Canis lupus familiaris: one gene and its partners. The protein of the gene in region 7 interacts with the protein of the main gene of each other region in a biochemical or structural test. Links are inferred from orthologs where the notes say so. Each region holds a gene or a part of one and is shown on either strand. Other genes may lie near its edges.

The links.
Region 1: the proteins of MAP1LC3C (region 7) and STK3 form a complex in vitro, tested with the Homo sapiens proteins (2 studies listed by BioGRID and IntAct). The link is inferred for Canis lupus familiaris from reciprocal best matches to the Homo sapiens genes MAP1LC3C and STK3.
Region 2: the proteins of MAP1LC3C (region 7) and KBTBD6 form a complex in vitro, tested with the Homo sapiens proteins (2 studies listed by BioGRID and IntAct, with this or other methods). The link is inferred for Canis lupus familiaris from reciprocal best matches to the Homo sapiens genes MAP1LC3C and KBTBD6.
Region 3: the proteins of MAP1LC3C (region 7) and KBTBD7 form a complex in vitro, tested with the Homo sapiens proteins (2 studies listed by BioGRID and IntAct, with this or other methods). The link is inferred for Canis lupus familiaris from reciprocal best matches to the Homo sapiens genes MAP1LC3C and KBTBD7.
Region 4: the proteins of MAP1LC3C (region 7) and NEDD4 form a complex in vitro, tested with the Homo sapiens proteins (2 studies listed by BioGRID and IntAct). The link is inferred for Canis lupus familiaris from reciprocal best matches to the Homo sapiens genes MAP1LC3C and NEDD4.
Region 5: the proteins of MAP1LC3C (region 7) and SQSTM1 form a complex in vitro, tested with the Homo sapiens proteins (6 studies listed by BioGRID and IntAct, with this or other methods). The link is inferred for Canis lupus familiaris from reciprocal best matches to the Homo sapiens genes MAP1LC3C and SQSTM1.
Region 6: the proteins of MAP1LC3C (region 7) and NBR1 form a complex in vitro, tested with the Homo sapiens proteins (2 studies listed by IntAct). The link is inferred for Canis lupus familiaris from reciprocal best matches to the Homo sapiens genes MAP1LC3C and NBR1.

The regions. Positions count from the first base shown.
Region 1 is NC_049234.1:1,025,045-1,029,008, forward strand, and holds the start of STK3 (serine/threonine-protein kinase 3), read right to left. Parts: upstream 2,801-3,964; 5' UTR 2,611-2,800; coding exon 2,585-2,610; intron 1-2,584. UniProt on the Homo sapiens protein: Stress-activated, pro-apoptotic kinase which, following caspase-cleavage, enters the nucleus and induces chromatin condensation followed by internucleosomal DNA fragmentation.
Region 2 is NC_049243.1:9,450,821-9,454,945, forward strand, and holds the start of KBTBD6 (kelch repeat and BTB domain-containing protein 6), read left to right. Parts: upstream 1-1,325; 5' UTR 1,326-1,710; coding exon 1,711-3,852; 3' UTR 3,853-4,125. UniProt on the Homo sapiens protein: As part of the CUL3(KBTBD6/7) E3 ubiquitin ligase complex functions as a substrate adapter for the RAC1 guanine exchange factor (GEF) TIAM1, mediating its 'Lys-48' ubiquitination and proteasomal degradation.
Region 3 is NC_049243.1:9,372,852-9,376,797, reverse strand, and holds the start of KBTBD7 (kelch repeat and BTB domain-containing protein 7), read right to left. Parts: upstream 2,801-3,946; 5' UTR 2,518-2,800; coding exon 478-2,517; 3' UTR 1-477. UniProt on the Homo sapiens protein: As part of the CUL3(KBTBD6/7) E3 ubiquitin ligase complex functions as a substrate adapter for the RAC1 guanine exchange factor (GEF) TIAM1, mediating its 'Lys-48' ubiquitination and proteasomal degradation.
Region 4 is NC_049251.1:21,503,088-21,507,152, forward strand, and holds the start of NEDD4 (E3 ubiquitin-protein ligase NEDD4), read right to left. Parts: upstream 2,801-4,065; 5' UTR 2,364-2,800; coding exon 804-2,363; intron 1-803. UniProt on the Homo sapiens protein: E3 ubiquitin-protein ligase which accepts ubiquitin from an E2 ubiquitin-conjugating enzyme in the form of a thioester and then directly transfers the ubiquitin to targeted substrates. Specifically ubiquitinates 'Lys-63' in target proteins.
Region 5 is NC_049232.1:2,129,045-2,132,544, forward strand, and holds part of SQSTM1 (sequestosome-1), read right to left. Parts: intron 3,012-3,500; coding exon 2,931-3,011; intron 2,638-2,930; coding exon 2,578-2,637; intron 1-2,577. UniProt on the Homo sapiens protein: Molecular adapter required for selective macroautophagy (aggrephagy) by acting as a bridge between polyubiquitinated proteins and autophagosomes.
Region 6 is NC_049230.1:19,825,279-19,828,778, reverse strand, and holds part of NBR1 (next to BRCA1 gene 1 protein), read left to right. Parts: intron 1-1,931; 5' UTR 1,932-1,940; coding exon 1,941-2,042; intron 2,043-3,500. UniProt on the Homo sapiens protein: Ubiquitin-binding autophagy adapter that participates in different processes including host defense or intracellular homeostasis.
Region 7 is NC_049228.1:33,301,758-33,305,753, forward strand, and holds the start of MAP1LC3C (microtubule-associated proteins 1A/1B light chain 3C), read right to left. Parts: upstream 2,801-3,996; 5' UTR 2,675-2,800; coding exon 2,617-2,674; intron 2,516-2,616; coding exon 2,460-2,515; intron 2,282-2,459; coding exon 2,175-2,281; intron 201-2,174; coding exon 1-200.

The DNA of each region.
Region 1 (3,964 bases), on a different chromosome or scaffold from region 7:
CTACTCCAAACACAGCCTTCCTGCTAAAAAATTTTTTAAACCACTGCCCTAAAGTACCTAGTTGGAAGGCATTGCTGTAAATCAAGTATGACGGTCATAAAACCCAGGTATGGAGTAGTAGTATCAAAAATGAAAAACAGAAAAGAAAATGAATCTAGACTTCTTGATGGAGAATTCAATAGGACTTAGTGACAAACTAGAAAGAATAATGAAAGAATGGATCTGCATAAAAATATCAAATATTCCAACTGAACACACCTGCTGGTCATACAGACTTGAACATCAGCAACATAAATGTGACCATGTAAAAATGTCTGAGCCCTAAGGAAGTGCTCCTATGCAAGGCAGAAAAGCAAAGCAACATTCTTACAGGGATTAGGAAAAGAACAAGCAGAGGGCCCACAGGATCGTACAAAGACATGGCCACCACACCATGGAAGGCTAAAAGAAGTGTTTTTAAAAAGAGGTATCACTGTACACAATGAGAGGGTTCACAGCCTTTGCAGCCAATCAGATTCAGGGTTCTGGCAACTCCTCCACTTGACCAAATTATTTAACCTCTCTGAGTTTCATTTAATAAGGAAAAAATAAACCAACATTTAGCGTCGTTCAACACATTATGGAGCACTGTGCTAAGTGCTTTTACACATGACCTATTCTAATCCCCGTAACACACTTTACAGATGAAGAAATTAAATTTAGAACTAGCGTAATAAGCTGCAGAGCCATGATTCCTCTTTCTTATGACAATAAAATAAAGGAATGCATATACAAATTTCCTGGGGGAAAAAATGACCTCAAAAATGGCATATTTTATTATTAGAAGGTAATAATCAATAGGGAGGACACAAAAACTCACTTTCAGTAATCCCTGTCATAGCCTTCCATGGAGCAAACTCTTTGTGTCCTCAGCTACAAAACAGGATTACTTCCTGTAATCAAACTTACGTAATAGGGTTGCTATGATGATATTATGAAAATGAAAATGCTATGAAAAAAATTTAAGTGACATTCAAATATATGGGCTTAATGTCACATAGCTTGCTTTCCAGAAATGCCTTCCTGGAACAACGAAGTCTGTCTGAAGAGAACTAAAAATGAGCCTGTTGGAGTGCAAGCATCACTTTGTAAAGTATAAATGACCATGAAATGGTTATATATACCACCCACATCTCCCCCTGGCCCTTCTAGGTTTTCTAGAGCCCCTGCAAGGCCAGAGGATCTCTTATACCTATAAAGAAACCGATAATTTACAGCCAATGAATGAATAGAGCTTCTACTTCAATTTGGAGTTGTTCAACTTGACCTTTGGGCATCATCTCAGAGGTGGCCCCCTTACAGTCCTTCCAAAACAGAGAAGAAAAAAAGTTTCCAATTTTCTTCTAAGATACTAAAACTGGGTGCCCAATCAATACGAGAATTCAATACAAAATACCAGACAAAAATCAAGGGCTCTGATAACAAGTCTCTTTTGGACGCCCTTCCACACACCCACCTTTTTTCACCTGAACAGATGGTTTCCAGGCCTCAAGGCTCACATGTCTAGTCACACGATTCACAACAGCTCACAAAGTTCCTACCTTTTTAATTATTCCATGTTCCTGAATATATCACCTTTCGTCTAAAGATCTCTAAGTATCAGAACACAGGAACTCCTTAATCTTCACAACAGCACTCTCTGGGAGAAAGATTAGTACTCTTATTTTATAAATTACAAATGAAAGACTGAGATTACATGTTTTAAACAACACCAGTTAAATGACGTTGATTCATTCTTGGGGGGAAAAAAGATGCACATTATGAATTTATATCTCTGGGCAGCCTTGATTTAGCTTGATCATTTCAAATACTACTTTTAAAAGTATCTACTGTGTACTCTCACTCTTCCAATATATCAAAGATCAAACTAACAGTAAATACCAAAGCATCACTACTTCTATATGCTAGAAAACAAAACAAAGCACTATGCGGGGAAGGGGTTCTAATTTAGGATTCCTACTGTCTCGCATCCATAAATACTTTTGAACTTGAGGGCGGTGAGGAAGGAACACCTGTCAGTGCGGTACACCCTCAAGGTCCACACACTACGTAGCTGTTCCTACGGAATTCCTTCGACGGGAAACAAATAATCCGCCTTCTCAAATAAATGGCAGTATCACGAGAAACACTGGACAAAAGCGCCGAGAAGGCTGCGAGCAGCCTAATGCATGCCCCGTTTCGCGTCCCGGGCTCCGAGACTCGCCGGGAGGAAGAGGCCCAGGAGCGCGGCGGGGAGGCCGGCGCTCCCCAGCCGCTCCCCAGCCGCTCCCCAGCGACTCCCCAGCGACTCCCCACGCCGCCAGGCCCGGCCGCCGCGGCAGACGCCAGGCTCGGCCTCCCCGCGGCGCCCCGGGCCTGGGGGCAGCCGCGGCCCGGCCCCGCCTCGCGACGGCCGACGCGCCCGGCCCGGGCCCCGCCGCCGCGGAGGGGTCGCCGCCAGCTCGGGCCTAGCCGCCCCCGCCCGCGGCCGCCGGCCCCCCCGCCCTCCCTCCGCTCCCGGCTCCCGGCTCCCGGCTCCCGGCTCCCGGCTCCCCGCGAGCGTTACCTCTTGGGCGCTGGCGGCTGCTCCATGGCGGCCGGCGACAGAGGAACGGCCCCGGTGGGCGCTGAAGGACGCAGGGAGGACAGGAGCCGGGCACCGGCCGGCCGAGCCCCCGAGTCCCCGGGGAAAACCTCCAGGAACTCGGACCAACTTTCCCGTAAGTCCGCGGCGGATCCTCCTCCCGCTCGCGAGCGCCGCGGCCTCCGCGCCCCGCCCCTCCCCGCCCCGCCGAGCCCCGCCCAGCCCCGCCCCTCCGCCGAGCCCCGCCCCTCCGCCGCCCGGGGAGAGTGGGCGGAGCCAGCGGCGGCCCAGGCTGGTGGGCGGAGCCGGGCCCTGATGGGGCGGGGGCGGGGGCGGGGGCGGGGGCGGGGCCGAGGCGGAGGCGGAGGCCGAGGCCGAGGCGGAGGCGGAGTCAAGCGCCGGCCCCCGAGCTGCGAGCGGAAAAAGGGCGCGGAGACCCGCGGACCAAGGCCTAGTTAGGACCCGGGGCCTGTCTGTGCTGGCCGGGGGCGGGGGATGCACCTTCCCTGGAGCCGCTGAGAGCTGCCGCTCCGCATCTGCCTCCGAAAATTGGCTTTTGCCCCAATCCTATTTGACTCATTTCTTCTCTGGATTTCCCAAAGACACATCCCAAGCATCTTGTGCAGCCTTTTGAAGTGTCACTAACTGCCCACGCTTCTGTCTCTAGTTGTTTATAATTATGGGCTGTGTTTTACGCCCGCCCGGTTTGACGTTTGTAGCTACAGCACGAGGGATACTACTGGAAATTCTTGTTTGATGTTGATTGTGGACAAACTCCTCACTACATTTCGCTATAATTACGTCTGATTACAAAGAAAATTAGGACTGCGGTGAGATCCCAGTGCACAGATTTCATGCACTGTGGTCTTGCCAGCTGTTCGCTTGGATCACCTGGAAAACCTAAAACAAATTATGGTGCACAGAAAAGAAGTCAAGAAAAGTTTCTCTTCCTTCTTGTCACCTGTCTCCCCCAACCTTTTCCGAAGGCCCTGACCTCATTGTGATTTGATCCCTTCCTGCATCTATCTTTTTAGGATACCATTTAACATGAAGTTCCGTATATAAATATCTTTCTTATGATCATCTAAGGTGCTATGTAATGAGTTTGCTTTCATTAGAAATTATCCAGGTGTAGAGTCATAGAGGTTTCTTGAAGGTTAGAGCAAAGTCTATGAAGAGAATGTTAAATAAAGGAACTTTGTGAATATTAATCCAAATTAGACTTGTCTAATAGTCGTTTTCCTCTTTTTTGCATTGTTTCCATATGTAATAAACTTACATGATTTATTTTTCAAAGCACTATATTCCCCATTAAATTTAGTTATGTTAAATTTAAGACCATTCGTTGTTGAACCCTGAAGT
Region 2 (4,125 bases), on a different chromosome or scaffold from region 7:
AGAATATCATTCAGTGATAAGAGAAATGAGCTTTTAAGCTGGAAAAAAGAAAGACATGGAGCCACCTGAAATGACTATTGCTAAGTGAAAGAAGATGTTTTTAAAAGGCTACACATTGTAAATAATAATAATAATAATAATAATAATAATAGGCTACACATTGTCCAGTTTCAACTATACGACATCCTGGGGAAAAAGTTAAAACGAGACAGCAAGGAAAATCAGTGGTTTCTGGGCGGGCGCGGGTGGGTGGGAGGGCAGGGAGAAGGAAGCATACAGGGATGGAACACAGGGAATTTTTATGGCCGTGGGGGCTGTTCTGTAGGTCACTGTAATGGTGGGCCCGTGACCTTACACCTTCTGCAGGACCCTCGCAACTGCACCCAGGAGCGGAACCCAATCTCAACAGCCCGCTGTAACCCACGATGACCCGGTGGCACGCACCCCCGGAGGCGAGGTGTCGGCCAGAGGGGGGACCGTCAGGGGGTGCGGGGGGTGGCGGCTCCCCGTGAAACCCAGCTCGATCTTGGGGCACCGGAAACTGCTCTTAAAAACCAACTCAAAAAAAAAAAAAACCCAAAAAACAAACCCAACTCAATCGCTAAAAAAGAAAAGAAACAACAACAACAAACAAAAACACCCCCGACTTTAAATCCAGAAGACACAACGGTGGTTGCCAGGGAAGAAGGGGGGGGGATGGGCGAAAGGCGATGGAGAGGACCCTTATCCTGATGAACACCGAGCAACCCACAGAATCACTGAAATCATACACCTAAAACTAATCTTTGGGGAAAGGAAGAAAAAAAGAATGTATTACAAAAAGGCGGGGGCGCGGAAGGGGCGGCATCTCTGAGGAAAACCTGCAGGGCTCTCGATTTTTTTCCCCCCCACGGGCTCCTACATCTCAAGAGGGAGCGCTCGATGATCTCCTAAACGAGCAAAGAGAAGCTAAAGGGCACCCGACCTCCACCTCACGGGCGCCGCGAGAGTCTTTATCAGCCTAACCCGCGACTGTGCAGTCCGAGCATCCTTATTTAACCTACGCAATTCACGTCGTCGTCGTCACACGGCGCTGGGACACACCGTCGTTATTCACATTAAAAAAAAAAAATAAAAAAAAAAAACCGTCCCGAGCGCGGAGCCCAACAAGGTGGCAGATACGAAAACCAGGAGGGCTAACCCGGATTCCAGGCTCAAAGTTCTAAAGCATAAAAGCGAACGGCCGAAAATTAGCGATTTCTAATTCCGTCGGCCGAAAACAATGAACGGCCGATAAATCTCGCGATGCCTATGGAAACTACCACTCCCAGCGTGCACAGCGGCTCCGGGCCATCCGCCTATCCCCTGGAGTCTGGAGGGGCCCCGGCATGCCTCGGGGCGCGAAAGGCAGCCTGGGAGCCGTAGTTCCGCTGGACGCCTACCGGTATTGCCAGCGCGGCAGTGGCGGCTCTCTCGGTTCCGTCCAGCCGGGTTCTGTAAGGCGAGCTGAGGCGGAGAAAAGGGCGCGGAACTGGAAGCGGGTGAGTCAGGCGCTGGCTACGTGATAAAGGGAGGCGGCACTGCGGCATACGGCTGGATTAGGTAAATGGACCCGTGCTGCAGTCTCTCCGGAGACGCCGCGATCTAGCGCCCGCGCGAAGAGGGCGAGGAGGAGCCCGCGCCCGGTCCGTGCACCCGTTCTCGCCCTCGTACCCCGCCGCCATCTCCACCATGCAGTCCCGGGAAGAGGCTCCGCGTTCTCGCCGCCTGGCCAGTCCCCGCGGCGGCAAGCGGCCCAAGAGGATCCACAAGCCCACGGTCTCGGCTTTCTTCACGGGCCCGGAGGAGCTGAAGGACGCGGCTCACTCCGCAGCCCTCCTGGCGCAGCTCAAGTCCTTCTACGACGCGCGGCTGCTGTGCGACGTGACCATCGAGGTGGTGACGCCCGGCAGCGGGCCCGGCACCGGCCGCCTCTTCCCCTGCAACCGGAACGTGCTGGCGGCCGCGTGTCCCTACTTCAAGAGCATGTTCACGGGCGGCATGTACGAGAGCCACCAGGCGAACGTGACCATGCACGACGTGGACGCCGAGTCCTTCGAGGTGCTGGTCGACTACTGCTACACGGGCCGCGTGTCGCTGAGCGAGGCCAACGTGGAGCGCCTCTACGCGGCCTCCGACATGCTGCAGCTCGAGTACGTGCGGGAGGCCTGCGCCTCCTTCCTGGCCCGCCGCCTCGACCTGGCCAACTGCACCGCCATCTTCAAGTTCGCCGACGCCTTCGGCCACCGCAAGCTGCGATCCCAGGCCCAGTCCTTCATAGCCCACAATTTCAAGCAGCTCAGCCAGATGGGTTCGATTCGGGAAGAGACTCTGGCGGATCTGACCCTCGCCCAGCTGCTGTCCATCCTGCGCCTGGATAGTCTGAACATAGAGCTGGAGCAGACCGTGTGTCATGTGGCCGTGCAGTGGCTGGAGGCGGCTCCCAAGGAGCGCGGACCCAGCGCTGCGGAAGTCTTCAAGTGTGTCCGCTGGACACACTTCACTGATGAAAATAAAGATTACCTGGAGGGGCTGCTGACCAACACCATTGTGAAAAAGTACTGTCTGGACCTTATCGAGGGGGCCCTGCAGATGCGCTATGGTGACAAGCTGTGCAAGGCTCTGGCGCCCAAGCCAGAGACCAGCAGTGGCAGCTGTGGCGGCGGCAGCAGCAGCAGCGGTGGCAGTGGCGGCGGCAGCGGCAGCGGCGGCAGCGGCGGCAGCGGTGGTAGTGGGGGCAGTGGGGTTGGCAGCGGCACCAGCAGCAGCAGCAGCAGCAGCTCCTCTGTTGTACCCATAGCTGAAAACCCACCCCAGAGGCTGGGCGTGTGTGCTAAGAAGATGGTGATCTTCTTTGGACATCCTAGAGATCCCTTTCTGTGCTGTGACCCATACACCGGCGATATTTACAAAGTGCCCTCGCCTCTGACCTGCCTTGCTCACACCAGGACTGTCACCACCTTAGCTGTCTGCGTCTCTCCAGACCACGACATCTACCTGGCCGCGCAGCCCAGGAAGGACCTCTGGGTGTACAAGCCAGCCCAGAATAGTTGGCAGCAGCTGGCCGACCGCCTGCTGTGCCGGGAGGGCATGGATGTGGCCTACCTCAATGGCTACATCTACATTTTGGGTGGGCGAGACCCCATTACCGGTGTTAAGTTAAAGGAGGTGGAGTGCTACAGTGTCCAGAGAAACCAGTGGGCACTGGTGGCTCCGCTACCCCATTCCTTTATATCCTTTGATCTAATGGTCATCCAGAACTATCTTTATGCCCTCAACAGTAAGCGCATGTTCTGCTATGATCCGAGCCACAATATGTGGCTCAAGTGTGTTTCCCTCAAGCGCAATGACTTTCAGGAAGCCTGTGTCTTCAATGATGAGATCTACTGTATCTGCGACATCCCCGTCATGAAGGTCTACAACCCAGTCAGGGGGGAATGGAGGCAGATTAACAATATTCCCCTGGTGTCGGAGACCAACAACTACCGGATAATCAATCACGGCCAAAAACTGTTGCTGATCACCTCTCGCACCCCACAGTGGAAGAAGAACCGGGTGACCGTGTATGAATATGACACTAGGGGAGACCAGTGGATCAACATAGGTACCACCTTAGGCCTCTTCCAGTTTGATTCCAACTTCTTTTGCCTCTCAGCTCGTGTTTATCCTTCCTGCCTTGAACCTGGCCACAGTTTCCTCACTGAGGAAGAAGACGTGCCGAGTGAATCTAGCACCGAATGGGATTTAGGTGGATTCAGTGAGCTGGACTCTGAGTCAGGAAGTTCAAGTTCTTTATCTGATGATGATTTGTGGGTTCAGGTAGCACCTCAGTGAAATGCACAGGATCAGCAGAGTTTGTTGTAGATAGGTTGAAACACTAAGGTGTTTTTACTGCTTTGGAAAGTGTCTTAAAGAGATGCCCTTTCTCTTTGCTGGGAAAAAAACAACAACAACACAGGTTGATTGATTTCAGGTTTGGTTTAGAAAGGGTATTGTTTGAAATACTAACATAATTTAATGTTAGGGAATTTATACACAAAGAAATCAACCTATTTAATAATTTACTGTTCTAAAAGTCCAGTATTGATTTGATTGTTGGGTATGTTT
Region 3 (3,946 bases), on a different chromosome or scaffold from region 7:
GGAAATCTACTACTTTCATTATTCTAAAAGAAAATACAACCTTCAAAACCCTACCAACAATTTCTAGTTCAATTTTCTACTATAAAAATTAAAAAGTTAAATTCCTTGTGGCACTAAGTTGAATTAAAACGTTAACAGAAGACAAACGTAGATAATCAAAATATAAACAGTGTAAACTAACCAAAACAATCCACTGGTGCAACAAATACTCGAACAACCAAGAAACCACCAAGCATTCTAATCAGTTACATAGTTTGTTTTTGCATATTTTAATCTTGACTTTTAGCATAATAAATTATCATATAGGTTGATTTCATGGACTGTTTAACTTTGTAACATTACATTAGTAATTCAAATGTTACCCTTTCTAAACCAAATCTGCAGTCCTAATCAACATTTTTTTTTTCATGAAAAGGAAGGGATATCTTTTAAAGATACATTCCATAGAAGTAGAAACATCTTAGTGCTTCAAAATATTTACAAAGAACCCTGATGATCCTGTGCATTTCCCTGAGGTGCCACCTGCACCCAGACTTCATCATCGGAAAAAGAACTTGAACTTCCTGACTCCGAGTCCAGCTCACTGAATCCATCTAAGTCCCATTCAGTACTAGACTCACTCCGTGCATCATCTTCCTCAGTGATAAAACTCTGTCCAGGTTCAAGGCAGGAAGGATAAACACGAGCACAGAGGCAAATAAAGCCAGAGTCAAACTGCAAAAGACCTAACATGGTACCTATATTAATCCACTGGTCTTCCCTAGTATCGTATTCATAAACAGTCACCCGGTTTTTTTTCCACTGAGGGGTGGTAGAAGTAATGAGGAGCAACTTTTGGCCATGATTGACAATCTGGTAGTTGTGGGTCTCTGAGTCCAAGGGGATATTACTAATCCGCCTCCATTCTCCCCTGGCTGGGTTGTAGACCTTCATGACCGGGATGTCGCAGATACAGTAGATCTCATCATTGAAGACACAGGCTTCCTGAAAGTCACTACGTTTAAGAGAAGCACAGTTCAGCCATGTATTGTGGCCCGGGTCATAGTAGAGCATGCGCTTACTGTTCACAGCATAAAGATAGTTCTGAACCACTATTAGTTCAAACGAATAGAAGGAATGGGGTACAGGAGCCACCAGTGCCCACTGGTTTCTCTGGACACTGTAGCACTCCACTTCCTTCAGTTTAACACCGGTAATGGGGTCTCGCCCACCCAAAATGTAGATGTAGCCATTGAGGTAGGCCACATCCATGCCCTCCCGGCACAGCAGGCGGTCGGCCAGCTGCTGCCAACTATTCTGGGCTGGCTTGTACACCCAGAGGTCCTTCCTGGGCTGCGCGGCCAGGTAGATGTCATGGTCTGGAGAGACGCAGACAGCTGAGGAAGTGACAGTCTTGGTGTGAGCCAAGCTGGTTAAAGGGGATGGCATGGTGTAAATGTCCCCTGAGTATGGGTCGTAGCACAGAAAGGGATCTCGGGGATGTCCAAAGAAGATCACCATCTCCTTGGCACACATACCCAGCCTCTGGGGTGGGTTTTCTGCTGTGGGCACAACACAGCTGCTGCTGCTATCTGGTTTGGGCACCAGAGCCTTGCACAGCTTGTCACCATAGCGCATCTGCAGGGCCCCCTCGATAAGGTCCAGACAGTACTTTTTCACAATGGGCTTGGTCAGCAGCCCCTCCAGGTAATCCTGATCCTCTTCTCTGAAGTGTGTCCAGCGGACACACTTGAAGACTTCCGCAGCGCTGGGTCCGCGCTCCTTGGGAGCCGCCTCCAGCCACTGCACGGCCACGTGACACACGGTCCGCTCGCTCTCGATGTCTAGACTATCCAGGCGCAGGATGGACAGCAGCTGGGCCAAGCTCAGATCCGCCAGGCTCTCCTCCCTTACTGAGCCCATCCGGCTGAGCTGCCTGAAATTGTGGGCTATGAAGGACTGGGCCTGGGATCGCAGCTTATGATGGTCGAAGGCGTCGGCGAACTTGAGGATGGCGGTGCAGTTGGCCAGGTCGAGGCGGCGGGCCAGGAAGGAGGCGCAGGCCTCCCGCACGTACTCGAGCTGCAGCATGTCGGAGGCCGCGTACAGGCGCTGCACGTTGGCCTCGCTCAGCGACACGCGGCCCGTGTAGCAGTAGTCGACCAGCACCTCGAAGGACTCGGCGTCCACGTCGTGCATGGTCACGTTCGCCTGGTGGCTCTCGTACATGCCGCCCGTGAACATGCTCTTGAAGTAGGGACACGCGGCCGCCAGCACGTTCCGGTTGCAGGGGAAGAGGCGGCCGGTGCCGGGCCCGCTGCCGGGCGTCACCACCTCGATGGTCACGTCGCACAGCAGCCGCGCGTCGTAGAAGGACTTGAGCTGCGCCAGGAGGGCTGCGGAGTGAGCCGCGTCCTTCAGCTCCTCCGGGCCCGTGAAGAAAGCCGAGACCGAGGGCTTGGAGATCCTCTTGGGCCGCCTGCCGCCGCGGGGACTGGCCAGGCGGCGGGGGCGCGGAGCCTCTTCCCGGGACTGCATGGTGGAGATGGCGGCGGGGTACGAGGGCGAGAACGGGTGCACGGACCGGGCGCGGGCTCCTCCTCGCCCTCTCCTCGCCTTCTCCCTGAAGAGACTGCAGGGGCCGCACTTACCCAACTCAGCCCCGCGCCGCGGTGCCGCCTCCCTTTATCGCGTAGCCAGCGCCTGACTCACCCGCTTCCAGTTCCGCGCCCTTTTCTCCGCCTCAGCTCGCCTTACAGAACCCGGCTGGACGGAACCGAGAGAGCCGCCACTGCCGCGCTGGCAATACCGGTAGGCGTCCAGCGGAACTACGGCTCCCAGGCTGCCTTTCGCGCCCCGAGGCATGCCGGGGCCCCTCCAGACTCCAGGGGATCGGCGGGCGGGCCGGAGCCGCTGTGCACGCTGGGAGTGGTAGTTCGAGGAATATCGCGAGGTTTCTCCGGGCGGGCGGACTTTTAGCTGACAGAATTCGAAAAAGCGTTAATCTGGGTTTGTTGGTTTTAGAGCTTTGGCTTTGATGTTCTTTTTTATTTAAAAAAAAAAAAAATCTCCGTTTTGGTATTGGTCTTCTCTCTGAGAACTTTCCCCTCTTTGTAAAGCGGGGGATACGAGTTTTCATAGGATTATGTGAGAGTGGGAGCGAGGTGGATTTGCGCAGGTCCCAGGATGCTTCAGCGAATACCTGCTGATTAATCACATGCTTGCAAGTGCCTGGAATATACAGATTCAGCCACTGGTGGCGTCTCCCAATGCGTTTTTAAAAATGTGCCCGCGTGCGAAGCCGTGAGCGATTTGTGTGAGGAATCTTAATTTTACTGTTGCTTCTTTTGAAGGGTTCTTCTGAAGGCTACCACCATCTTTTCAGAACTAAATGAGATCCACAGGTTCGTTAGGGTGTCGTGGACAAGGATGAGGTCCTGGCGAACAGCGTTGAGAGGTGGCCTCCGACGTGCGGCTCAGGCCTCCGACGTGCGGCTCAGGCCTCTGACATACAGCTCAGGCCTCTAACAGGCAGCTCAGGCACATGCATAGCTGGGCTGACCTCTCACCAAATCAATATTTACGCAGGGGGAGCAGGATTACTTTCATAAGCTTTTTTTTCTTTTTTTTTAAATTAAGATTTTTATTTACTTATTAGAGAGAGAATGCACAAGCAGGGGAGTGACAGGCAGAGGGGGAGGGAGATTACAGGCTCCCTGCTGATAGGGCCGGATCCCAGGACCCCGGGCAGGCGCCTAACCGGCTGAGCCACCCAGAAGCCCTTTCGTAACCTTTTAGCAGGAATGTTTTGGTCTAATACTGCTCGTTTCCCTTCCTCTCCACAAATCAGCCTAAGATTATGTAGTTATCTTTATCAAGGAGATAAAAACGGGAGTTGTAGATTAAAAGATTTAAACAAACAGACCTCAGAGCTCTGTATTCATGCATGCCCCAGTTTTTTTTTTTT
Region 4 (4,065 bases), on a different chromosome or scaffold from region 7:
AGATACATTAGAGTTAAATGACTAATAAACAAAATTACCAAAATAACAAATTAATAAGGTAACTAGGAGTATTTGGGAAATGCCTAGCAATTGAAACCAAATTCAAAAAATATAAAATTAGAATTCAATACTGTTGAAAGACTAAGTTACATTTTAGAAGGCAATCTTAACTGGTAGCTAAAGGAAAACTGGGTGGAAACAAAATTCCTGTGGTTAAGGGTATATACAAATGCAAATGCCAGTTATTTTTCCTGTGCTTTAAAACAGCAGCATAATAGTTTTTATCAATGTTCTACTAAATACGCATATTTTAGAGAAACATTTTCTCTGTGTTCATTTGTGAAAAGATTTTCACATTTTTATGTAGGCTTTTTATTGTTTAGTATTTTAAATAAGTATTCTATATTTTACCTATTTCACATTGATTAAGGAGGGGAGAATGCTAAATGAACATTTTTGAAAGTAGGAATAAAATATGGAGTTAGACATTAAAATGCTATATTACTTGAAGAAAAAAATATACCAAGGTAAAAATATTATGAAATAAATTATTATTTAAAGCTTGTTTTCATGCTACAGAAATGTTTCATGGTTTAAATCATTTTAGAGAGTTTTTTTTTTAATGCATATTTTTGACACTAGTAAAATAACAGAGAGTGAAAAACTATTGAAGTTTCCTCAGATTTACAAATACAAAGATTATGACTATAAAACACTTGCTAAGTTCTAATATATTTTAACCAAATAGTTCATAAAGCTTTTCTAGTATAAATTAACAATTACCAAGACCAAAGGAAACTTACCTTACAAGAATGCTTTAAAGAATTAGATAGTTCATTTGTGAAATCTCTGTTACTGTCTCTTGATAAGTTATCAACTTTATCTTCATTTCCAGGTGCAAATTTTATGAGTAATTGTGATGGTCCCCCCTTAGAACAATTGTGCTTGAGGCTGGATAAACAGGAAACATTTGGGTAAGTTCCTCCCAATGAAACACTTCTCTGTAAAATAGCATGGTTTTTGTTTATCTGTAAATTTGGTCTTTCCAACTGTCCATTGATATTTATTTGGTAATCTAGGTGTTGAGAGGATGGTAAACATGCAGATGTCCTCTGCATAAGCTTAATGCACTCTGAATGAGAATTAAGCTTGATTTCTGACATCTCTGGTTTGCAATCACCACTTGCTGTTTCACAATCTAATGTAGTTGCTTTTTGTTGGGTGAAATGCACTGAAACACAAGAAAACCCTTCAGACGACTTTTCACGGACATTCTGATTCAGACTATCATTCGCAATAACAATTTTCTTTTGTAATGAACCCTTCCTGTGAAGTGGTCGTATGTCTCTCACTTCTCCGGGAGTACAGATTGTTTTAGATAACCGAAGTCCATTGACAGCTGTTGAAAGAAATCCCTTAGTGCTACTACCATCTTCACTGTGGGCAATTTCACTAGGAGAAATAATAAATTGGTGTGAGGTTTGATAGGATCCTTTGCTTGGAAGAACGTCTGTACTTGTTGGAGAAGTCGGTGGGGTATTTAAAGGACTCCTAGGAAAAATGACTAAGGATGAACAACGTTTTAGTGGAATTTTCGAGTTCCTGGTCACTGGCAATTTCATAATTTCTAGTCCATGCTCCAAGTCATCCTGGACAAAAGGAACGGTACTTGGACTTCTTGAAAAAATGTCACATGGAGTAGTATTCCTGTTTGGCACACTTCTATTGGAGGTGCTGTCAGAAGATAAATTTCCACCAAAAAAAGTATCATCAGTTGGTGGAAAAGTATAACCACTGCTGTCACTGATGATACTGTTTGTGTAGGAACCACCACTTGTGATACTTGTGCATGATCCATAATCACTACCATTGCTGCTGTAAGACCCATTCTCACTGGTGGAAAAGTTACTGAGGCTCCCACTGTGAATGGCCGAACTGCTTACAAGGTTACCATCATTCACAGCATTCAGCTCATTCTCAGCCACAGCATTGTTGTAAATGCCATCCTTAAAGACAGATGTAAATGAAGCATCATCACCATCAGCTAAGACATTGCCAGACTGAAGACATCCACTGTACCTTGTTGGTTGTAGTGAAATCTGCAGACAGCTGCTCTTTTTATTAACATTTTCAGGTGAAGGAACAGATGATCTTTCCTGAGAGTTAACGTTTTCCTGTATCAACGGAGCTAGTGCAGTCTGTCTAGGAGTCAGCTTCATTTGAACAACGTTAGACGTTGAAATCCGTGTTGGTCTTTTGAAGCACATGTGAACATTGCTATCCAAATCATCTCCGGAGGTTTCTGACAAAGGATAAGTATTGCTTCTTCTGGCTGCAAAGTGCAATCGTAAGCTTTGTGCCATTTGTTCTCATTTCCAAACATGTTAAGGGCTGAAAGTCATAACAAAGATCTCTGTCGGTAGACAGGCTAGAAGCAGCTGCACTGCATCGAAGGAAAAAATCATTTGTGGTGCCTAAAAGAGCTCTTAAGCAGTAGTCTTTATCCTAAGTAAAACCTTAGATACCAGATATCATAGAAAGAAAAAGACGACCCATTCCTGAGACTGACGTTTCCAAATATTTTGAATCGCTTGTAGTCAAAATGCCTTCACTTACAAAGCACTTGATTTCCAGCGCCCTTTAAGCTGAGCTCAGCTGCAGCGCACTGCCTCAAACACTGCCAACCTTGTTTCAATTATACCTTCTCCAATTTGCATGAATGAGTAACACAAGAACAACAATCTTCTAGCATTTCAAGTTGAAACAGTATTTTTTCACTCCTGCTCTACTAAATGAACATTTAACTATGTGAATCACGGCGTCTATACTTTCTCCAGCAGAGTTTGACCACTAATATTTTTACCCATAGGGATAAAATTACAGGAAGTTGGTAGGAATGAAACCCCATGTAATTGAGTATCAAATCAAGGATTGAATTTCCAAACAGTAGACAAACTAGGAATCTTGTCAAGTTAGTTAATGTAGAAAGGCATATATTCTGTTAATTTTTTTTTTAATGAGTGAATTCAAACAGTTGTATAAATTTGGAAGTACCAAAACTCTGGGGTGAATTAAAACTCAAGCATTAAATCAAATAGATAAATATTTTAGCTTCCAAAACACTACTTATAAAAAGTGAAAGCTTAAGGATAGAAACACAAAATTAGCCTAGTAATACTATTGAAAAATTGAGCATAGGTCTGAGAAAGAAAAATTTAAGAGAAGCTGTCACCAAGCATTTTCTTCTGTAATTTTAAGGCCTTTTCCAGCCAAGTAGTACAGTCTTTAAATGATGCCATTTATATTTTGACTATTAAAACTCTGCCAAGAAATAGCCTAAGCAAACATTCCATTAAAAATATATGCAGATTAGACAGAAAAACTATACCCCAATATAGTTTGAGCACACAAGATATTTTATTCCACTGTCTCTGCAATTCATTCACTTAAGAGAGTGTTGTGGTAAGTAAAGAAGTCTAAAAAGGATTTAACACATCAAATAAACATATCTCAATGCCAAATCTGTTCTGAAAACTCTAAGAGCTCTTTGCTGGCCCCTACTGGTGTGCTGAAACAATCCATTTAGCTGTTTGATACCTATAAAGAAATACAAACCATGCTGCATATTTCTTTGTATAAACAAAGTACATACTTGTTTACATTTTTGAGTACTAGCCTTGCCCTAGAGGTGGAATTACTTACTACTGCTGATAAAGCTCCCACAGTAGAGAACAGTAGACTATTTGTCCTCCTAGAGGTTGTGATTTTGTATATATATTTTTTCTGCTTTGTATTTATTTAACCTTTACTTTATTTTCAGTTTACTAGGTAATAAAAGTTTAATATTTTAATTTCTCCCTTAAATGTCATAGACCAAGCTTGGTATTCTATTTGAAAGAAACAAATTTATTTTTAAATAATACTCTAGGGTATATTTAAACCCCTTACCTGAATTTTATAGCTGGAACTCCAGTAATAAATATATACTGGCTCATTCATAGGAAAGTAAAAAGTAAAATAGTTCAGTTGTTTACACCACATGGTACTACACCCAAGTTGTATTTT
Region 5 (3,500 bases), on a different chromosome or scaffold from region 7:
AATGGCTGGCAACCACGGCAGTCTGATCCTAGCAAGGCATTATTAAGAGGAGGCTGCCAGGAGGAACCCCCTGAGGGGCCAGGGCCATGATTCGCTTTCCTCTGGAGGGTGATGGGGCACCTGGCCAGGCAGTGGGATCCTGGGTGGCAGAGCTACAGGACATTGCCCCGGCACGCATGGCCTCTCCCGAGCAGGGACACCTCAGCCCCTGCTGGACCGACTGCTCACTCAGGCTGCCGCCTCGCCCTGTGCCCTCCAGCATCTAACCATCAGGTCTCATGCCTGGGATGGCAGGGACCATCATTCGGCTGACCAGCCAGTAATGGCTACAGGATCCTGAAGACTGGTCTTCAAACACCCCCAATTCCCTGGCCTCTGATGCCTCCACACAGTTGCTCACCACCCTCAAAATCCACTGCTTGTCTTTCAAAGTTTAAGGTCATCTTACCTCGTCATCTAGGACTTTCCTTTTTCTTTGTCTGTGTTGCTTTATACTCTTGTGTTTAATCCCTTTATTGTCACTTTGGTAGAGTGAGGAGCAAACAGAGATAAAGACAGGCTTAGTTACCAATACTCCCATCTGCAATATTTAAGTCCTTTTTCTCCTTTTATCCTCTCTCCGACTTTTTTTTTTTTTTAAGATTTATTTATTCGTTTATTTGAAAGAGAGAGAGAGCAAGAGAGAACACAAGTGGAGGGGCAGAGGGAGAAGCAGACGCCCCACTGAGTAGGGAGCCCAATGTGAGGCTCAGTCCCAGGACCCTGAGATCATGACCTGAGCCAAAGACAGACGTTTAAGCCACTCAGATGCCCCCTCCCTCCAACTTTTCATCATGAAAGGGTCAAGCAGGGGCACCTGGATGGCTCAGTAGGTTGAGTTTCCAACCCTTGGTTTCAACTCAGGTTCTAATCTCAAACCCCATGTGTCCAGCTTAGTGCTCAGCTGGGAGTCTGCTTGGGATTCTCTCTCCCTCTGCCCTTCCCCCACACCTGCACACGCACTCTCTCAAGAAATAAACCTTTAAAGAAAAAAGGAAAGGTTCAACCAAACAAAAAAGTTGGAAGAACAGTACAGTGAACACCCATACACCGTCTAACTTTTCTGTGTGAGCAAATGACAGGACCTTTGTAAAGGAATCAGTGACTACAAACCCAAGCCAGAGCAGTCCTGTGACTCCATGGTAGACCCGCTCAGCTGGTTCTTATGGCACCTACCAAACAAGGTCTTGGGGTTTTACTTTGAAACCGCTGAGTCACTGCACACAGTCTGCCCTCTGGGAGGTATTACTGTCTGTCCCTCTGGGCCCCTGCTCTGGGAACAGTCCCTTCTAGGCAGTTAGCAGGATGAGTCATCCTAGCTGTCAGTTCCTTGTAACAAAGGAAAATACCTATAACTCTAGAGTTGAATCAATTCCTCAAGTGGCCCTCCTCAACTGAAACCCTCAAAGGCATACTTACTGAAACTTCCCTTGTTTTTCTGGACAGCTCTAGGCTCCTCCCGAGTTGGTACAAAGTAACTCCATCCACTTTGAAAGACCTGAAAAGGCCTTTACCCTTATCCTACAACACCTGAGCACTGCCAAAATTATTCCCGTAAGTCCTGTGTAGGGAATTTGGGTCAAGCTCTAAAACATGCCCCCAGCGCAGATGGGCCTCAGGATGGACAGCAAGTGCGACCCAAAGTCACTGGCAAGCCTTCAAAACACACAGATCCCAGGCCCAACCCAAGACTAATTTACCAGGATCCAGAATGTTGACCTGGGATTCTGCACAGCTTCCCGTGCCCCTAAATCACAACCCATTAGAGGACCATCTCTCAAAGTTCAACACAGCCTCGTGCTTTCGTCACCACATCTCGAGTGGCAGCCGGGGTTTAGCAATAGGCTTATCTCCCGATTATGACCTAATCACTGCTCCGTTTTTATCCTCCTTAGAAAGCACTAAGAACATCAGCGCTCTTTTCACTTTCTCTAAAGAGCCTTTGACTCCAGTCCCAAAAACAGTATATGGTCTGAGCTATTTCACGGAGCAGCAAGGCCAGGACATCACTGCTGCTTTGAAATTGTGTCCTGGCCTTGAGGAGTGGCAGCTGAAACGGTATCCAGTGGGAGGCAAGAGCAGTCCTGCCTCCCTTCCCATCTGCATCCTTTCAGACAGGCCTTCTAGGCCACCTGAGCGGACACTTCCTGCCACCGCAGTCACAGAGGTGAGCGCTCTTCTAGGCAAAGATCACAGACCTGCTGTAATCCTGCACCAGAGATCACCTTTGTCATGGACTCCCACTGCCACAGGGCCCAGCCCTGCAGCGACCACCGTCAGGGCTGCAGATGCAACAGGTGCCTTCTAAAGCCTTGGGCCAGGCTCACCACTCGGGGGTACCTGCTTTGGTTCACCCACCCAGACACTTCACACCTGAACTGAGGGCCAGGTACCGGGCATCATATAGAACTCCCGCCTCCCTCATGCCCTGCTCCCTAGCATGGGCACAAGCCTGGTACTCGGCAAGCACCAAAAAGGCTGGTACTGCAAAAGACAAAAGGGAGGAAAAGAGAAATGGCCTCTCAACTAATGACTCACCCAAGTCCTTGAGTAAACCCTGGGCTGTTTGTAGGGTGGACGTGAGGAGCAGACTGTCCTCTGTGGGAAGAACAGTCAGAGGCTGACAGGCCAACCCCGTAGCTCAGCCTACTGGGATTATCCCAACCAACCACTCTGATTCCACTTCATTCCATGGGGAAAGCTCAAGAATCTGTCAGGGAATTCAAATGAGTGGCCTGCAGTGCCGCGCTATGGCAAAGGCCTATGTGACGCTACAAGGGCACGGCAGTTAGCATTCCTCTACAGCAACCCAGGGGCCAGCCGCCCAAAGCCACCCATCACCCAGCACTCGGAGTTGCTGCCACTCCCAAAGTACAGAGGCAGCCACTTACCCAAAGGGCTCAGGGCAGCCGCCACACTCTCCCCGACATTCTTGAGGAAATTCACACTGGGATCCTCCGATGGACCAGAAACTTTGGTTTTCAAAGAAACAAAAACATTCAATTCAAAGCAGATTTCTCAAGGACTTGAACACCTGTTACAATCACATCACCTTCATCACAGGGGCCATCCATCCCTGGGACCCTGCCCCTCCATCGCCACCATTCTGGGCTGCTCTGTGACACTGCTGTTCAGAAGCCGGGGGGGATTCACTGCATGGGGTATGAAATATGGACCCCATTCTAGCTCAGATGTCAAATATCAAACAAACAAACCTCCTCACCTTGGTTCCAAAGAACAAGGTAAACCAGAGGAACAGAAAAATAATAAATTTAGAATAAAACCAGAATCTAAAATTCTGAAACACAAGTTATATGTTAAGTGTTTAACTCTGTGAATACGCTTAAAAATATTTCAGCAGGATGCCCTGCTGGCTCAATCAGTAGAACATACAATGCTTGATCTCAGGGTCGTGGGTTCAAGCTCCCAGCTAGATATAAAGCTTACTTAAAAAAAATAAA
Region 6 (3,500 bases), on a different chromosome or scaffold from region 7:
GGCTCCATGCACCGGGAGCCCGACGTGGGATTCGATCCCGGGTGTCCAGGATCGCGCCCTGGGCCAAAGGCATGCGCCAAACCACTGCGCCACCCAGGGATCCCCTGAAGAGGTTTTTTTTAAAGATTTGCTGATGAATGTTTAAAAGATTACCTTTTTCATTACAGCTTGGGTTTAGATTTTAACAAATGATTTTTTCATAAAGTCATAAGAACAAGCCAATCTAACGACTCATCAGTAAGTAAAACTTTTAATTAAAAACAATGAGAGGCGCCTGGCCAGCTCAGTCAGTAGAGTATGCAGCTCTTGATCTGGGGATCGTAGGTTCAAGCCCCATGTTGGGTGCAGGGACTGCTTAGAAATAAAACCTTTAAAGAAAAAAAAAACTGACCAGAGTAGACATTCAGTTACAGAATTCCTAACTTCTTAGGCATGATGATGGGATTATAGTTTTCAAAAAGTCTTGGTTTTTTTAAAGACTTAATATGCTCAATTTTATGGATGAAGTAATAGCTGTCTGTCAAAATAATCCAATAGCAAACGGGTATAGCTATAATAAGATTAGTCATTTGTTGATGATAATTATGGAAGATAGTTGATGGATCCTTAGGAGTTCATTGTATATTATTCATTCTTCTGTATATGTTTAAATTTTCCCGTAATAATTTTTTAATTAGATTACTACAGTTTGGTTAAAAAGATAACTGGGATGCCTGGGTGGCTCAGCGGTTAAGCATCTGCCTTGGCTCAGGGTGTGGTCCCTGGTCCCTGGTCCTGTCTTGGGCTCCCCACAGGAAGCCTGCTTCTCCCTCTATGTTTCCGCCTCTCTGTGTGTGTCTCTCATGAATAAATAAATAAAATCTTTAGAGAAAAAAAAAAAAAAAAACAGTTAACTACTGTCAGTCTATATTGGGGGGATTAGGTGGAGGCAATACAGATGTATAGATGAAATGAGGGTAGCCTTGAATTATTTATTGTAGTCATACGTCCATCACTCTACACTTTTATGTATGAAATTCTCCATAAAAGAAAAGAAAGTAAAACTATTTAAAAAAATGAACTTGGATGAAAGGTGTAGTTTCTTGGCTAGTGTTTTAGCCTCTAAATTGTCCAAACTGATCTAATAGGGAACCTGGGTTGCTCAGTTTAGGAAAAGGCTGCTTTCCCAAGAAAAAAATGTAGAATGTCATTTTCAAGGTATGAGATTGTAAAGTCCCTGAGGGCAGAGATCTATGGGTCTTATTCTTTGTATCCTGCTACTAGCAGATATTCAGTAATATGTATTGAATTAACTAATAATAAGTTCCATAAAATCCTAGAGGATTTTACAAATGTTAAATGATTTCTGTGAGTGTGGCCAAAATTTACAATGTCTCAGCAAAATTTACTAGTGAGATTTGGGGGTGCTTGGGTGGGTGTCCGTCTCTTGATTTCAGCTCAGGTCTTGGTCTCTAGGTCGTGGGACTGGTGGGACTCCCTGCTCAGCGGGGAGTCTGCTTCCCTCCCTCTTTCCTCCCCCACCACATTCATACTCTCTCTAAAATAAATAAATCTTTGAAAAAAAAAACACAAAATAAAAACAGATTTTGGTGGTAGCCACCGAACAGATTATAAATAGCAGAAGAGGGCAGCCCCGGTGGCGCAGCGGTTTGGCGCCGCCTGCAGCCTGGGGTGTGATCCTGGAGACCCAGGATCGAGTCCCACGTCAGGCTCCCTGCATGGAGCCTGCATCTCCCTCTCCCTCTGAATAAATAAATAAAATCTTTAAAAAAAAAAAAAAATAGCAGAAGAGCAGAGGCACTTCTTCACTGCAGTGTCTTCCTAGCCTAGGCTGTATAGATCTTCACAAGCATTTGTTGAATGGCTGTTTATGCAGTTTATAGAACTGTCTCTAATGTGTGTTCTGTCTTTCCTCCATCTCTTAACTCTAGCCCCACAGCATGGAACCACAGGTTACTCTGAATGTGACTTTTAAAAATGAAACTCAAAGCTTTCTGGTTTCCGATCCAGAAAATACAACATGGGCTGATGTTGAAGCTATGGTAAGTGTTACTTTGTTTCTCCATCCTTTAAGCCTACTTTTCCCAAAAGATAGCTGTCTTTGCCTGTGTTGTTTGATAGCTCTTATATTTACCTTTTCTAGGCCTTTTGGAAAATTACTTTTGATACGGTTTCAGTATTCATATAGGAAAAATGCACCACCACTATCACCTCCCTCCAGGGCACAAATTCCTTAATTTGCAGCTGGGACTTAGGAAAGCTGTTAATTTTAGAAACAGTGTGAGAAATGAATTGGTGTGGGCCCCACCCTAATCAGCCCCAGAAAAATGTTCTCCTGCCTGAGAGCAGTTGTGTTTCTGTGGTTTGTGAATCACCCAGGGTATGATTTATGTTTTGCAAGCTGATCATTTTTTATTGCTAGGTCAGAGGTCAAGTACCTGAATGTTTTGCAGTGGGGTGCCTGGGTGGTTCAGTTGGTTAAGCATCTTAGCTTAGGTCTTGTGATGTCACGCTGGACTTGGATCCTACTTAAAAACAACAACAACAACAACAACAACAACAACAAAAAACCTTGAGCAGAAAAAGAACTACAGGTGCTTAGCAGCTCATCTGTTTTGTGTTGTTGTCAATGCCTTTCCTCCTCTTGGTTTGCCCTTTGTACTCTTCTATTTTTGTTTGGTTTGCAGTAGAGTGAATGTTTTACTTCCTGTGTAACTGTGTTTATCCATCAAAACCTTTTGGTAAAAGCCTGCTTTTATTTGGTTATGTGGAATGATAACTAAAAAGGAAAAAAAAATGATGAGGAAACGTCACAAGATGATCTGATCTAGTTCTGTCTTCCAGCAAATATTTCTTTATATTGTTGTAAATAGGTGATTATCCAGAAAGTTTGGCCTCTTTGTCAAATGACCTGAATATCAAACACAGTTCTTTTTCTAGTAGTTAGATTAACTGATAGTTTGCCTTCTTTATTGTAAATTTTATTTTTTTATTTTTTTTTTCTTTATTGTAAATTTTAAATTATGAAGGGGTAATACATGCCCATTATAAGAAGTAAGACAATCCAAACATATATAAAGAAAAAGTTACTATTCCTCTACTCCTTCCTCCTTTTCATCCACTGTTCCCACATCTCTGGGGTAACCAGTGCTAACAGCCCTGTGTAATACGTAGGCACACAGATTTCGTCCTAGGATCATACTATAAACATAATTGTGTACCTTATTTTTCCCCGAACAGTATATTATATACAGTTCTCAATCAATAGATAAGGATCTGAGCTCATCTTTTTTTTTCTTTTAAGATTTATTTATAGGACAGGAACAAGAGCACACAGATGGACAGAGGGAGAGGGAGAAGCTGACTCCCTGCTCAGGGCGGAGCTCAATCCCAGGACCCTGGGACCATGACCTGAGCTGAAGGCTGACACCGACTGAGTCACCCAGGCGTGCCCCCCCCACACACACATACACTCCAGCTCATCCTTTTTATTTTATTTT
Region 7 (3,996 bases):
CATGCACTGGAGAGGACGGCAGGATTTGCTCCGACCCTAAGCAGCCAAACATCTCCTGGGAGGCGTAGGTCATGTACACAAAGCCGTCCTCATCTTTGTAGTCCCTGTAGACTTCTGCCATGGTCATACTCATGCTGACCAGGCTCCGATTGTTCACCAGCAAATAAAAGGCTTCAGTGGCCCCAAGGACCAGGCGGCTCCTGGGTGGGGAGGAGTGGGGGGCAGGAAGGGAAAACTTTAACTGGGCATGGAATGGGCCCCTGACCCAAGCCCTGGCTTACCTCTGTCTGTCCACGGCAAACATGTCTACCCAAGGAGCCCACCTCTCCACTCTAGTGCATTGTCTTCAAACTTGACAATTACCCGGGAGGGCTTGTTGAAAGCAGACACCTGCACTCCACACCAAGAGTAAGGCCATCCTATCATTAACTAGGAGACATACCAACACAAAAATGCTAAGCCCTCTTTGCTCTCAAACTCAAGGTATGTACAGCCCCAGACATACAAAAGTGATTACAGTATCTCCCAGCATCTCATTGTTAAATAGCTTTGGAATGAAATGTTGAAAGGTTACTACCCTTTCCTCCCTCTGCCATCTCTCCCCCCACCTCAAGGAGATAGAGAAGCAGCTTAGTTCATTTGGACAGGCTATAATGTCAAGGTCAATCTGAGGCCTGGTTCATCCTGGAGTGGAGGACAACATGACAGCGTAGACACTCAGGTAAGGGATCTGTCTCCCCTGCAGCACACCTCCATTTGCTCTACTTGGAGAGGTAGGCATAGCTTGCCCACTCTGGTCTCAGAGATTTGAACTTTCAGGTGAGCTAGGTCCATGTGGTTTTGGGACACAGGTGGCTAGAAATTGATTAATTTTATAACCAGATAACCTCTCCCAAAATAACCCTGAAGATTTCAGCTTTGATAATTGCATGGTTGTCTGGGTAAAAGAAGTGTTCTACAACGGGAATGGATGGAGCTGGGGACCAGTGCATTGCCTTCAGCTCTGCAGGAAACACTCCACACAGTCCACACACCCACCTCCTGTCCTTTGCTATACTATCTTTCAACGAGGGTTGTGGCATCCTCTGGAGGAAGAGGTTCTGGGGAGAGATTTTTTTTTTTTTTTGTCTATTCTGTTCACTGCTTTAAAGACAGCCTAGAAAGAATCCAGAACATCACTGATGCTCAATAAACATTCTGGAGCATTAAATGTTGGCATAGAGAGGGGATTAGGGCTGGTAGAAAACAAAGGATGACCTCTGTCTGGGAAGGAGAAAAAGAATGGCTCTCAGAACTCAGAGAGTTGTTTCTAAGGGAGGTGGGTGAGGGGTGGTCACTCTTTGTTACATCAACATGTTGGGATATAATCCTAACACTGGTCATCCCTTAGGCACTTCCATTCACACGGGGCCAACATAAGCTCCCCAAGGAGAGGATATCAAGATCCTCTTAAATAACTCATCAAGACAAACAAGACAGAGACAAACACACACTCATAATGAATTCTTAAAGAAAAAGCAGCTATGCAGCTTGCAAGGGCTGGCCTTTCTGGACTTTTCAACCCCATGAAGAATTACCCTCTGGTAATTACTCTCAGATCATTTTTGTTGAATCCATGTGTCAAGTGACAGTACTTACCCCTCTTAAGCTTTGAAAATAGCCCCATTTTCTTTGCTGTGCCTTAACCTAAAGGAGGAACATGTCTGGGGACACCTTTCCTGTCCTCCCTCCCAGTGAAGGGAGTGCCTGCCTTTGGAAGAGGTCCTCATTCCTCCAGGGCACAGACACTTTAAAGGTACCGTGTGTCTGCTGGGAAAATGAAGACTGAGTGTTTTTTTTTTTTTTTTTTTTTAAGACTGAGTTTTAAACAGCTTGTGGAAGAACAGATCTTTTGGACTAGTCTCAGAGCCAGGACTACTTCCAAAACTTCTTAGAAAAGTTGGCGGCTCTTACTCTCTTTAAACTTGCTATCTGTGGGATTTTCCTCGCCTGTTTAAGTCAAATTACTTCTCAGAGCATCTTTTCTGGGCCCTACAGAATCTAAGAGGTGAGTCGCAAAGGAAATCTTTTCCCTCTCTTACAGATTCTCCCCCTCCTCAAAACCAAACCAATTAACAAAGCAAACAGAAAAAGCCTCACCTAGCACACTCCCCAGCGTGCACATTGTCACCTACCGGATGATGCTGAGGAACTGGATCATGGTTAGCTCCTGTGGGACCAGGAACTTGGTCTTGTCCAGTAGGGGCAGGAACTTCTCCCTGGGGTAGCGCTCCACTATCACCTGTCGAGAGGGTCAACCCCCAAGAATGTAACTCAGAGGTCTCAGTATCTTAGAAAATTAGAACAGGGAGAGACAGTGGGGTTTTTTTGTTTTGTTTTGTTTTCTTCTTCTTATTTTTTCTTTTTTTCTCTCAAGGAACAGAGTATACTCCTTTTCAAAAAGCGTAATGCGGTCTTACCGGGATCTTGTTTGGGAACTTTGCTCGGATTCCGGCAACTTCCTCTTGTCTGGTTGCTGTGAATATTTCAAAGATAAAAGAATAAGTAAACAGCAGGAGAAGTCTGTATCCTCTTCCCTCTCCCTAGCAACCCAGACAGCTACCCTTAGAATTTTACCTAAACTCTTCCTCTGCTTGAAGGGTCTGAGGCTTTGGGTTTTCTGTGGTGTCTGCATTTTGCTCAACAGCTGTGTCTGTGTCTGACTTAAAAAAAAAAAAAATCCCACAACCAGGACCTAACTCATTCCTCAGCTGCTTCCAAACCGCCCCGCAGGAGCCTAAAGGAGGCCCTTATGTAGGGCTGTGTGACATCAGGCTTCCCCAACCCTCCTTCCCCTCCCCCTCCCTGGGTAGGAGGAGGTCAGCCCAGAGTAGGAGATGGAACAACAGCCACTTGCTTGCTTCTCAGACAAAGTCACTCTGCTCATGGCCAGTTCAAAATGTTTCTTTGCTGGAGAAATTAGGGTTCACAATAAAATCAGTGGCTGGGTCACCAAGCAGCCTATGTCTGGGATGAGGACCCTGGAGATACCAAATAGCCATTTGGTAGGGACAATCTTTTTATTTTTTATTTTTTTTATTTTTTTATTTTTCATGAGAAACATAGAGAGAGAGGCAGAGATATAGGCAGAGGGAGAAGCAGGATCCTAGTGGGGAGCCCGATGCTTGACTCGATCCCAGAACTCCAGGATCATGCGCTGAGCCGAAGGCAGATAGATGCTCAACTGTTGAGCCACCCACCTGTCCCTTCTAGGCACAATCTTGTGCTTTAGTAGGAGCCTATCTTGAAGGTGGGCCAGGATGGGGCTGCCCCGCGCTGAACTGGGCTGCCTTACTCCCGCAGCAGTCCTTCACAGCCAGTTTTCACAGAAAGAAACCTATGATCAGAAAGGTAAAGGCATTTCCCCAAAGTCATACAGCCAGTAAGAGAGGCAGTTGGGATTAAAACTCAGATTTGGTACAAAGTAGGGCACACTCCAGTATATGCTGCCATTTTATTTTCTCTGCCATAAAGGGGGGAAGGAAGCCCAGTGACCCCCAAAACCTCCCTTCAAGAGATAAGAAATAGAGGCCCATAGAGGTTAACTGGTTTGCCTGGGATCCAAGGGCTGATAAGAGGTAAGACACAGGTCTCCCAGGTCTCAGCCTCCAGGGTTTTGCTTCCAGAAATGTATGCACACCCAGGCAAACCTCTGCACTCCGAGTGAGCAGAGGGTTTACATTTCCCACACTGATTTCCCGGCAGAATCACTCAACAGTGAAGAGTCTTCAAATGAACAGTGTGACATAAAGGAAGGTGATTTTACATTCTCTATGTTTGCTTCATGAATCAGTGTGAATCTCAGGGCTTTGGCTAATCATCAGGAATGGACATCCAGTGATTAAATGATAGCATCACTGACAAGTGGCTTCATCCTCTGACTCTCCCTCTGATGCCCTTCAGAAAGGGCACACATGCTCATGGGGCTGCGATAATGGGGAGCAAGTGTGTACTTTG